3 linked regions of the Danio rerio genome follow. The protein of the gene in region 1 interacts with the protein of each later gene in a pairwise test. Links are inferred from orthologs where the notes say so. Each region holds a gene or a part of one and is shown on either strand. Other genes may lie near its edges.

The links.
Region 2: the proteins of efhc2 (region 1) and ncdn interact in binary tests that used the Homo sapiens proteins (3 or more experiments, as listed by UniProt). The two-hybrid records come from large-scale screens. The link is inferred for Danio rerio from reciprocal best matches to the Homo sapiens genes EFHC2 and NCDN.
Region 3: the proteins of efhc2 (region 1) and mapk9 interact in binary tests that used the Homo sapiens proteins (3 or more experiments, as listed by UniProt). The two-hybrid records come from large-scale screens. The link is inferred for Danio rerio from reciprocal best matches to the Homo sapiens genes EFHC2 and MAPK9.

The regions. Positions count from the first base shown.
Region 1 is NC_133184.1:35,465,842-35,469,497, forward strand, and holds part of efhc2 (EF-hand domain-containing family member C2), read right to left. Parts: intron 3,341-3,656; coding exon 3,233-3,340; intron 3,140-3,232; exon of another isoform or gene 3,094-3,139; coding exon 2,955-3,093; intron 1-2,954. UniProt on the Homo sapiens protein: Microtubule inner protein (MIP) part of the dynein-decorated doublet microtubules (DMTs) in cilia axoneme, which is required for motile cilia beating.
Region 2 is NC_133194.1:50,429,305-50,433,612, reverse strand, and holds the start of ncdn (neurochondrin), read right to left. Parts: upstream 2,877-4,308; 5' UTR 2,820-2,876; intron 950-2,819; 5' UTR 936-949; coding exon 771-935; intron 1-770. UniProt on the Homo sapiens protein: Probably involved in signal transduction in the nervous system, via increasing cell surface localization of GRM5/mGluR5 and positively regulating its signaling. Required for the spatial learning process.
Region 3 is NC_133196.1:35,054,946-35,059,383, reverse strand, and holds the start of mapk9 (mitogen-activated protein kinase 9), read left to right. Parts: upstream 1-1,562; 5' UTR 1,563-1,770; intron 1,771-4,438. UniProt on the Homo sapiens protein: Serine/threonine-protein kinase involved in various processes such as cell proliferation, differentiation, migration, transformation and programmed cell death.

The DNA.
Region 1 (3,656 bases):
AACGCCAAATAAAACTTAATTTTTCTCCACTTCAAACACTCAGAAAGAATTAAACAAAAAATATCTGGAGATATAGTTAAGGACATGCTACCATTGTCTCTCACATTGTCCCACAACAACATTTAGGGTAGATTAGAGTACAGGGTTTTAAATTTATTTTATAGTCATTTGACAAATTTGGAAATTTTTTGGCACATTTGCTATTAACTAGGTGCAATGGTGAAAACGGAATGCTTCACTAGTGAGGAAATGTATCTTCTCCTGCACAATGTTAAACTGGGCGGCCATCTATGTAATGAGCTGAATTCCACCTAAGCCCTCTGAGGTGAAGGTTTGGAAAGAGGTAGCTAATTTTATATTTATGTAGAAAATAATAATGTTTTATATTTTAATCCTTTAATCTTGCATATTAAAGATATTTGTGTGCTGCTGTGCATACCTGTGTGGATAATAAGCAAAGTGGACTTACAATTTGGCCCCACCTATCACCAACATGCACTTTATATGACAACAACAACAACAAAAAACTGTATCATTGACATTAGACTAGCTTTTAGTTAGTCAATGCCACAGTTTCAGTTGCCTCAGAACAGCAAGGGGGCAGCAATGCTCCCTAACACAGCTCCTTTTCAAAGCAGCACACAAATTGGTGCAAATGCATACCTGTGCCAAGCTGAAACAAGCAAAAAACACTTCTCTCACATCTGGCACTGCACTGCACCAGGTATATGGTAGGGCCCTAGATGTAAACAGTGCCCTAATTAGACTGAAAACCGAAAGAGAAGCCAGACAGAGTTACGTTTAGCCATATGAATTTGGTCTATTGCCTCTTGACCCTTGAGAAGTGAACAAGTGCTTCATCAGAGCCGGTGTCAACCCGGCTCCATTAGGCTCATGTGTAACTAATGCTATGATCTCTTGAGTCGGCATAACGCCACGGCAGACAGATGCACGCGCACCCGTATTGTGTTACCGTTGACACGGAGCTTGTGTGCTTCTGATGTCCGGGCTTTTGAAGATAAAGAGGCCTGGCTAGCCATTGCTCATATCTGCTGTCCAAAAACTGAGTCACCTTGAGGTGTCAATCAGTTCTGCTCCTTTCATTCAGTGCGTGTTATTCCGACAGTTTTTCAACGGGATGAAAGCACACTGGGGAGCAGTAGTCTCTCATAGAGATGTGAGATTTATGGCAGGAAGACTTTGAAAATAACGAACAGCTTGTAAGACCACACAGATGAGATGCGTGTAGAGAATGAGGGGTCGGGGTATGTAGATTTGCTTTGCACTTCATTAGATTAAGCAGTAGAGCACAAGATGCACAAGCTGTGGAGAGTTTGTTTGGAGCTAACAAAATAAATGCCAGTTCAAGAGCCAAGTTCAGAGCCAGAGTCACAGATGAAACTCAATGCTGACATCATGTGGTCAGTAACAGCGCTGCCAAACTCCTCCCTTTGAAAATCATCATTCATTTTCCATAGCTTAGTCCCTTATTTATCAGGGGTCACCACAGCAGAATGAACCGCTAACTTTTCCAGCATATGTTTTATGTAGCGGATGCCTGTCCAGCCACAGTCCAACACTGGAAAGCAACCATACACTCTCACATTCACACAATTACAGTTTATTCAATTCACCTATACCACATATCATTGGACTGTGGGGAAAAGGGGAGAATGCAAAGGACACCCACGCAAACTTAGGGAGAACATGCAAACTCCACACAGAAATGCCAACTGGGCCAGCTGGCACTCGAACCAGCAACCTTCTTGTTGTGAGGCAACAGTGCTAACCACTGAGCCACTGAAAAGCACATGTATATTATGCATAATATATATAATGAAAATAAAAATACATTCTCCAAACTATTTGTTCTATATAGAGTTATGAAAATATTAAGGTTGTTATTATTACTATTATTAATATTACTGCAACCTGATATAGGACAATTATTTAGTTATAATTATTAATAATAAAGAATTATTCTTATACTATCAAAATCAAAAGTTTAGGGGTGTAACAGATCACGGTTGATTCATGATTCATACGGATCACAATCCACCGTTTGGAACACACATGGTCTGCTGATTAATACTTTTTTTACTGGTAGATTAATCCTAAATATGTAATGATCGCAGAGACCTCTTGTGTCATTCAAATCACATATATAAAAGCATGTAGGCTTTCTTGTAAAATATAATGATCATGGAAAAAGTTGTGGTAGGCTATTCGGCATGTGGTGGGTTTCATTAAAGGTGTTTGCTGTTACTACTTGTTTAGCCTGCATCAATGCATTCAGTGTAAGCTGCACGATTAATCATTAAAAGTTTGGGGTTCCAACACCCACTCAACATAAATTATAAATGATGGTGATTTACATATGTTTATTAATCCTTCAAAATGCAAAAAAAAAATGATTTGAGACTTTACTCTTTTGAGTTCTGAAGTTACAAACAGTACAGATTATAGTTTAGATAAAACCACTGATGTTTATGATAAAGATTAAAATCACCATCATATGCATTTAATGACAAATATAAAAATATTATAAAAATATTTATATATTGCTTTCACTCTAATTTAAAATGATTTCATAAAAATAAAGCTAATAAACCACAAATGTTGGTTGAATATATTATTCTTGTTATTATTAGATTCTAATAATAGCTAAGACTAGATAAAGTAAGATTTAAATTCTTATAATATCAAAATAAATTATATAAAGAGATAATAAGAAAAATATCTATTTATATGCTCCTTTATTGTGGTTATTAATAAATATTTCTATATATAAAAATACTGTACAAAGAAACTTTTAAAAATTCCTATTTATATACTGCTTTGAATAAAAATGTGATTGTTTTGACAAATCTATTTAACCACAAATTATGAAACATCACCAGTATCACCTATAAAAGTACAAATTCTATTCCTTCGGAAGTCATGATGTAACTCACCAATCCCATATTTAGAGCGATAATACTCTTTAGTGAAGTAGTCGCAGTCACATATTAACACCCTTCGACCCCATACATTAATGACAGCTCCAATAGTCAGATCAGAGTCTTTATAGAACTCTTCTTCCAATGCTCCAGTCTGTAAACAGTGAGTGAAAAAAGTTACATAACAATTGACTAATAAACTAATTTGAATCATATTTATAAGGAAACTGAGTAATTATGTTTATAGGGCATTCACTATGGGCACTTTTGTTTGTTTTTTAATCAGAACTTACTTTGAGGCTGTCCAAAATGTAGCGTCCTCCTTGTCCGACTGGTCCAAATACATTGAGGACTGTGCGGTCTGTAATTTCTCCAGGCTGACGTTTGGGAATAGGAGCATGCTGTTTAGAGAAATCAGGAGAAAATGACTGCATTTTTTTATAACTTAATGGACTAGAGAAATATGCTATTGGGGATAATTATTTTCTCATTGGGGGATTCCTGTAAACCTTTTCAGATGACATTTAATGAAAGGCAACAGAATGTGTGACAAGGCAACATTACAATAGAAAAAAAAAAAACCTGGACAAATCATTCTTCCTTCATAATGAATTTAGACTGAAAAACAAGCAGGGAGGAAACTGAAAAGTGCTTTAGGGAAGTTGGATGTTCTTTCAGCCCTGTCAGTCTGGATAAAAGCTTGGCATAGAGGATGGG
Region 2 (4,308 bases), on another chromosome or scaffold:
GGAGAAAGTCTTATTTGTTTTATTTCGGCTAGAATTAAAGCAGTTATTAATTTTTTAAAACCCATTTTTGGGACAATATTATTAGCCCCTTTAAGCCAATTTTTTTTCCGACAATCTACAGAACAAACCATTGTTATACAATAACTTGCCTAATTACCCTAACCTGACTAGTTCACCTTATTACCCTAGTGAAGCCTTTAAATGTCACTTTAAGCTGTACAGAAGTGTCTTGAAAAACATCTAGTAAAATATTATTTACTGTAATCATGATAAAGATAAAATAAATAAGTTTTTAGAAATGAGTTATTAAAACTATTATGATTAGAAATGTGCTGAAACAATCTTCCCTCCATTAAACAGAAAATGGGGAAAAAATAAACAGGGGCGCTAATAATTCAGGGGGGCTAATAATTCTGACTTCAACTGTATATTATTTAGCCAATTACCCTGATTATTTAGTTTGTTTTAAGAAAAAACTCACTTATTTTTGACATGTTATTTCTGAGGATTTTAAGTGACTAAAACACTGAAGTATATGGATGGCAGGTGCCCACAATGTACAGTTTGTGATCATTTCTTTGTTTTATTCTGTTGATATTTGATTGAAATATGGAAATATGGGTGGATAGTGCTGCGTTTCTATAAAGAGCTCAGTGTAGCCGTCATTATGGCTCAGTGTTATTTATTTATTTTTTTACCTGGCAGGTCTACACACACGTCACATGACTGAAAACTATATATTGGCACCCTGAGTGTAGGTGTGTTTGTACCAGGAGCAGCGCTGCCAGTGTGTGGCTGTCGTTCTTGGCATGATTGAGGGCATGAAGGCATCGCTCCAGCAGCTCTCTCTGAGACGGGCTCAGGGCCCCCGGGCTGTCAGCAGAGCCAGAGCCGGGCCCTTCAGTGCTGGAGCCAGGACAGCCTATCTCTGCCATCTTCACATTCAATCCTATATAAAACACACATCAGATATGCTGCTATTAACTGCAGAACCTAATATATGCACATATAAACACACATCACATAAACTGTTGGATCAAATATATGTGCATGAGGACATATTACACAGATTTATTTACTTAAATATTATTTTAGTCAACGAACATCTTTAGAAATAGAAAAATAATGCACAAAAAATCATGCAAAATAAAATAAACAAATAAAAATAAACTAAATTTAATATATATATATATATATATATATATATATATATATATATATTTACACACACACACACACACACACACACACATATATATATATATATATATATATATATATATATATATATATATATATATATATATATATATATATATACATACATATATATATATATATATACATATACATATATATATACATATACATATATATATACATATACATATATATATATATATATATATATATATATACATATATATATACATATACATATACATATATATATACATATACATATATATATATATATATATATATATATATACATATATATATATATATATATATATATATATATATATATATATATATATATATATATATATATTAAATTTAGTTTATTTTTATTTATTTATTATATATATTATTTATTTATTTATTTATTTTTTCCTCTTACATTGTTTTATTTAGTCTCTCATATAATATATATCTGCAAAATTATAAAAAATAGGACTTTACAAACTTTATTATAAATAAATCATATAAACATTTGGATATTATTTAAAGAAAATACTACAATTAATTTTTAAAAATGCATAATATATTTACTATTCATATGCATAATTTTACATTTTTTTAAAAATCTGTAAAATTTAGATTTTTTTGAAACACATCAGATACACTGTTATTAACTGCTGGACTAAATACATGTGCATGAGAAGAACTGATGGCTAAAACACTTAATTGAGGTAAAGTTTTTATATTCACACATTCAGACGTTCTCCTCAATAATATAAAATCAGAAAAGTACTTATGCAAACGACTATCAAAGTACAATGTTGTTCACAGTCAATTAAATAGTGCTAATGATGTTTTGAAGTCATGTTTACAAGCAATTTCAATCTGAATATTCAAAGTAGTGTGGTGAACAATATAGGCACGATAACACTAATTGTCAGTGTTCAAAAACGATAACCAACTTTACCTCTATAAACACTTATACAGCTGCTTTATAAGGATAGTTCAGCCAAAAAATGTAAGTTTACTCCCTTTTTACTCAACCTCAAGTGGTTATAAACCATTATGAGCTGTTTTCTTCTGTTGAACACTAAAGAAGATATTTTGAAGAATGCTGAAAGCCTGTAACCATTGACTGTAGTAGGAAAACAAATACTATTGAGGTTAATGGTTACCAGTTTCCACATTTCTTCCAAATATCTTCTAACAGAAGAAAACAACTCATAAAGGTTTGTAAAGGGTGAGTAAATGATGACAGAATTTTCAGTTTTAGGTGAACTGACCCTTTAATACCGAGGAAACGTTCAAGCTTATCTGTACAGCTCGTTTCACAATAACTTAACTAATCACCCCAAAGCGCACACTATTACATCACAAACAAAATCAGAAAGACGTTTTTAAAACGTTATCAAGATTAAAAGTTTATATATGGTTAATTTACAGATCGTTTACTGTTATTTTATATTTCATTACTGTATTATTAAGACAGAGTAAGTTAAATTAACTGACTAAGTAACAACAAGCTAAGTCATATTTTAACACACATATACATGGCATAAATCATCTAAAAAAAGTGTAGATAAAATTTAAAAAAGTAATAAATATACACCATTTTATTACAGTAGTCAACAAACCTGAAGCAGGCAGGATTCTCGAACACACACGCTGAAGATACGCGGATGAAACATCTCGCGAAACAAAATGAGAGGACACGATTTCAAAATAAAGGTCTTTGGGTAATCGAAAGCATATTTTTTTACAGTCTCTGGCATAATGTCAAAGTTTTTTTTTGTATTGTATGGTCATCAACCATGTGGAGCTGAGAATTGTTGATTACCGAAAATTGTAGTCTAGGGGAAATATATACATGAATACCAATTATTAACGTGAAATGATGTATACCTTTAAAACAATGATTTATTTACTACTGCTTTATTATTCCGACTATCGTTTTTCTATATAAGCAAAGTTATAAATAACATGGAACGTGAACACTTTTAGTAGAAACTCATGTTTTGAAATATTCATTATTTTTATGTAATGTTATTATGTATGTAATTTGTTTCTTTTTTGCACCTGTTTTTATTGTACTTTTTAAAAGCTGTTGTAATATACAATATGTTCAATAAAAATGTTAAATAATATTACCAAAAAAACATGAAACAATAAATTAGTAGAGGTACCTTTATGTGATCCATGAAACCGGAAATGATAACACGAGTGATGGCTGACGCTCCGTTTGAAACTGAATGGAAGCAAGCGGAGAAATCGTTCAAATAAAAGGAGATTATTACTCTTATCCGCCGGAATTAAACTAATTAAGGAGCAGCACAGAGAAGCGCAGTGAGTTTTTTCGCCTTTATATTCATTCCTCATCCGTTCGCTCGTTGTTCTTTTATAAACACGGTTCAGTTTTGTTCATTCATGAAGTGATAACGTAAATTCACCCACAAATGGAAATTCTGCCATCATTTACTTGTTTCAAACCATTATCAAGTTGTTCTTCTGTTAAACTCTAAAATAGATATTTAGAAAAATGTTGAAAACCGCTAATTACCTATTGACTTCCATTGAGGTACGGTTGGTTTTATATTCGCACATTCATTCGGTGACAGCTTGTGACGGGCTCTCTATATTGTTTACCCTGGTACTTTAAATATTCGGCTTGGAATCAATCAAGAGTGACTTCAAAACAACATTAGCACTATTTGACTGCAAACAGTGTTGTACTTTAATAGTCATTGTTCTATTAAATCTATAAATATGGTTTAGGGTTCATTCAGTATGGGGGTGTGCGAGAGATCTGCAGAGTGGATGATCAACATCAACAGCCTGAGGTATCAAGACATCTGTGCTGCCCATTACATTACAAACCACAGGAGAGGGACAATTCTCCAGCAGGATAGCGCTCCTGCTCATACTTCAGCCTCCACATCAAAGATCCTGAAAGCAGAGAAGGTCAAGCTGCTCCAGGATTGGCCAGCCCAGTCACCAGACATCAACATTATTGAGCATGTCTGGGGTATGATGGAGGCATTGAAGATGAATCTTGATGAACTCTGGGATCCTGCTGAATGCTTTCTTCTTCATTCCAGATGACTTTATTAATCAGTGATTTGAGTC
Region 3 (4,438 bases), on another chromosome or scaffold:
TGAGATGAATGAATGGACCCTCCACCTATTGCCTCATTTATGAAGCTTTAACGCTTCCATGATCAAATATTCAGATCAGTGGGTTCACCTGACTCAATATCAACCTCAGAGAGTGCTATCACAAATTAATTTACTCAGATAATCCCATGACTTGGCGAGGCAGTGGCGCAGTAGGTAGTGCTGTCGCCTCACAGCAAGAAGGTCGCTGGTTTGAACCTCGGCTCAGTTGGAGTTTCTGTGTGGAGTTTGCATGTTCTCCCTGCCTTCGCGTGGGTTTGCTCCGGTTTCCCCCAACAGTCCAAAGACATGTGGTACAGGTGAATTGGGTAGGCTAAATTGTCTGTAGTGTATGAGTGTGTGTGAGGATGTTTCCCAGAGATGGGTTGTGGCTGGAAGGGCATCCGCTGCGTAAAAACCTTCTGGATAAGTTAGTGGTTCATTCCCTGGATTAATAAAGGGACTAAGCCAACAAGAAAACGAATGAATGAATGAATGAATCCCATGACATCTTTGATGCAAATTGCACTGTGGTGCATGAAAGAAAGGCTGATTTACCATCTGATATTTGTGTGTGTGTGTGTGTGTGTATGTGTTTGTGTGTATATATATATATATGGTGCATGTTTTTCTTTTGAAATATTTCCCAAGAGATGCTTGACAGAGGAAGGTAGGCTAAATCCGTAGTGTATAAGTGTAAGAGGGTGACAAAAAAAGTCGTTATCATATGGACAAGTTTAAATGGAGGACTTGTTCTAAAGGGCCGACCGAATAATAAAACGAAATAAAACTTAGTAAGAAGACAATAATTTGTTTTGAGACATCAGATAGAATCTAATTTCCTTATTTTTATATCAAAATAATAATAATAAAAAAAAAGGTTTTGTGTTTTTGAGGCAGGTTGGTTTGATATCTTAAGATTAGTTTGCTGACATGATTTTAGTTGCATTGTGCTAATTGGTATTCATGGAGTGCACCAGGCAAGGTACAACAAAATGAACAACAGAAAGTATCCCCACACACTCACCCTATTAAGCTATCCTTCCTCTTTTACCAATGAACAGACCCCTAAGCTTGAATTATTTTTGTTATACAAAAAAAAAAAAAAAAAAAAAAAAAATATATATATATATATATATATATATATATATATATATATATATATATATATATATATATTTATATATATATATATATTTATATATATTGGGTAGGGCGTGTTTTCAGTGTCAAACAATTATTAGCGAATATGATGAAGAAATTTGTTTGGATTTACCGTCTATGGGATTTACATTTTAACAAACTATTTTGTTTAACAGAAAAACTATGACAGCGCGGAGGCCTTATATTTGTGAAGCCTGGCCTAGTTAAAAACGATGTTTATAGACAACAAGTCTCTCGTCTATTAGCCACAACCTCAATTTGACAGTGAGCTTCAATCCTTCCTGCAACTTTTCAATCTGCATCAAAAGTTACAACTCGACCTGACGAGTGCGCCATTACGTCATCCTACCCAGTGCGCGAGAGCGAGCGAGAGAAAGAGAGAGAGACGTCGAAAAAATACTGTCCCACCAACCTCCGCCCAACGGTCAGTCATGCCACACTCTGGATTTTACTGTCAAGCCTCCTAAAAGAGAGCTGAACTTGACCTGTCCGTCGTGTTGAACGTGGAAGCGATAAACGCCGACACTTCCGCGGTTCAGAGGCTCTGTTTGCTGGCGAGTGTGTGTATGTATGGGAGTGAACTGGAGAACGCGAGGAGAAGAAGAGAAGGTAAGCACGCAGCGAGCTAGCGAAAATGTATACACCTCAAACAGTCGTGTGTTTCTTTTAGCCACTACAAAGACATGCTGTCGTGTTTTTACGGAGGAGCGAGCAGAGAGCGCGTGTTTGTGTGCTCGTGTTGTCGTGGAGTGCCAGTTTGCCGGGAGTTTGACACACATACACACACACACATACACATCTGCAGCAGTTCTGGCCTCAAGATGGATCAGGCCGACACAAGAGTCACTCACAGCCACGCAGAAGAGCTTACCATGAGTGTTTGGGATGTAAAGTCTATTAGTTTAATGCGATTTATTGTTTAACTGGTGTATGTTATGCAGGGACGTAGCTAGCTGCGACTTAGCTTTGCTGTGATGGAGCGACTGCAGCCTGGCAGCAGAATGACATGACTTAAAAACGTGGTAAATCTACTCTTGACATGCTGTGGATTTATATTTAGTGTTCGTGGATTGGCTTAATATATCAGTGTATATTCTGTAAGGGGGCAACTTGTATCTGAATGAGGTCAATGACACTGCTGTGATGCATGAACTGAAGGATGTGTTGACATTCTGCAGGTCAAGAGATGCACTGTAATTCAACTACGATTCATATCTTTAGGCCATTTAGTTGCTTATTCACCTAACATTGAAAGTTGAAGTACATCTAAAACAATCACCTGTAATAAGTTAGCTTTTCATTAAGAAAGATTTGTATGATTTCCTGTTATTTACATTTTCAGTCCAATATTACATTATTGGTTCATCATTGGATAAATTATTTGCCCTCCTGTTTATTTTTTCCGCATTTTTTGTTTAGCGGAGAATATTTTTTCAACACAATTCTAAACATAATAGTTTTAATTACTCATTTCTAATGACTGGTTTATTTTATCTTTGCCATGATGACAGTAAATAATATTTGACTAGATTTTTTTTCAAGTCACTTCTATACAGCTTAAAGTAAAACAAATAAGACTTTTTCCAGAAGAAAAAAAAAATCAGACATACTGTGATCATTTCCTTGCTCTGTTAAACATCATTTGGGAAATATTTACCAAAGAAAAAAAAATTAAAGTGGGCTAATAATACTGACTTGAACTGTATGTGTGTCAGCAGCACTCAGCAGGTATTTTTGTATGTGTTTGTTTTGTGAGAAAGTTAATAGCAGGATGCCCTTAAGCAGCTATTTCTTGTACATTTATATTCATTTTTCAGGATGATACTAGAAAGTTCTGAGGAAATCGCATTGCACTTTGGGCACTCAAAGTTTCATTGGATTCTGCAGCGATTATCATATGACATTATGCTCTACTTCATCTTTAAACAAAAAAAAAAATAAAAGTCATAAAAAAATAGCTCAGGGAAAAATAATTAATCTAATTAAAAATTAGTTTTGCCACCATTTAAAGGGCACCTATGATGAAAATCAGCTTCTGTAAGCTGTTTGGACAGAACTATCTGTTTGTGTGTCCACTGTCATGTTGGAGTAATAGAAACCCAACAAGTCTCATTTTTAAAATTTCCTGATGTTAAAATAGGACCCAGATCCCAGTGATTTTGAGGCTCAACGTGACATAGGAGTGCGGTTTCCATGTGCACCGAATTAATTGACAGCATACGTTTCTATAATACATGTATAGACATGTCCACAGAACATTTGTTTGCAAATAAACTGGGATAAAATATTTGTTCCAACTCTTTAATTTTTGTATTAAGTTTAAAAGTTTTTAATACAGAGCATGTTTGTAATAAAGACAGTAAAATTGATATGTAGTTCTTAACCGCTATAATCACTGCGGCCACGTGGTGTTAGTAAACACACACATATATATGTATGTGTGTGTACTGCTTCTATGAGTGACTTGCAGCGACAAGTGACAACAGACATCCTAAGTTTCCAGGAAATTTCGGGAGTCACCCCCAAATGCATAAAGACTCCTGGATGCCTGCAAACGAATGATAATCTCCCGGAAATCGTTTTTCTTTTGCCCGGTCCTCAAGTTCTTTGCACAGTTCAGATTTGCACAGTTGCACAGTTCACACTCTTCAGATACGTTGCGCACCCCTGCCCCGCTCTTCAGATATGTCGCCCTCCACCCCTCAATCTCCCTTAAATCATCCCTGTCTTCACTGGAAATCACTTTTCCTTACTTGGGATGTCTGCGACAAGCGACCATTCATTTCAATAAAGAGCAAGCGACCTCCATCTACATGAGCAACAGCGACCGTTGGTGACAAAGTGGGTGTGTCAAGCTCAACTTTATGCAAATGAAGAGTGACTTGCTTGAGTGACAGCCAATAGGAGCACCAGAGAAGCTCACGTGATCCTCTCTCAGCTTCGGCAGAAGCATGTTGTATTCTCCATGCTGTAGACCTACACAGACCTGCGTTTGCCTGAAGATAAATAGCCGCAATGACAGAGAACACATTTTTTCTTGATCATCTTTGTAGTTAAGCGTTTTATGTACTGATTCCGTTTATATTTTGTGTATTTTCTGAACAACGTTTACTTTCAGTGGCACGCAAACTCATTTGCTCTCTGTGAATATTACCACAAACGTTATAAGCAATCTCAAGGTGGGAACACCCACAATTGTTTTAATCGCCACCCAGAGCAACATGCAGCTACAGAGTCGCTGCTAGTGTGAATAAGGCATGAGACTCATCATTTCAGA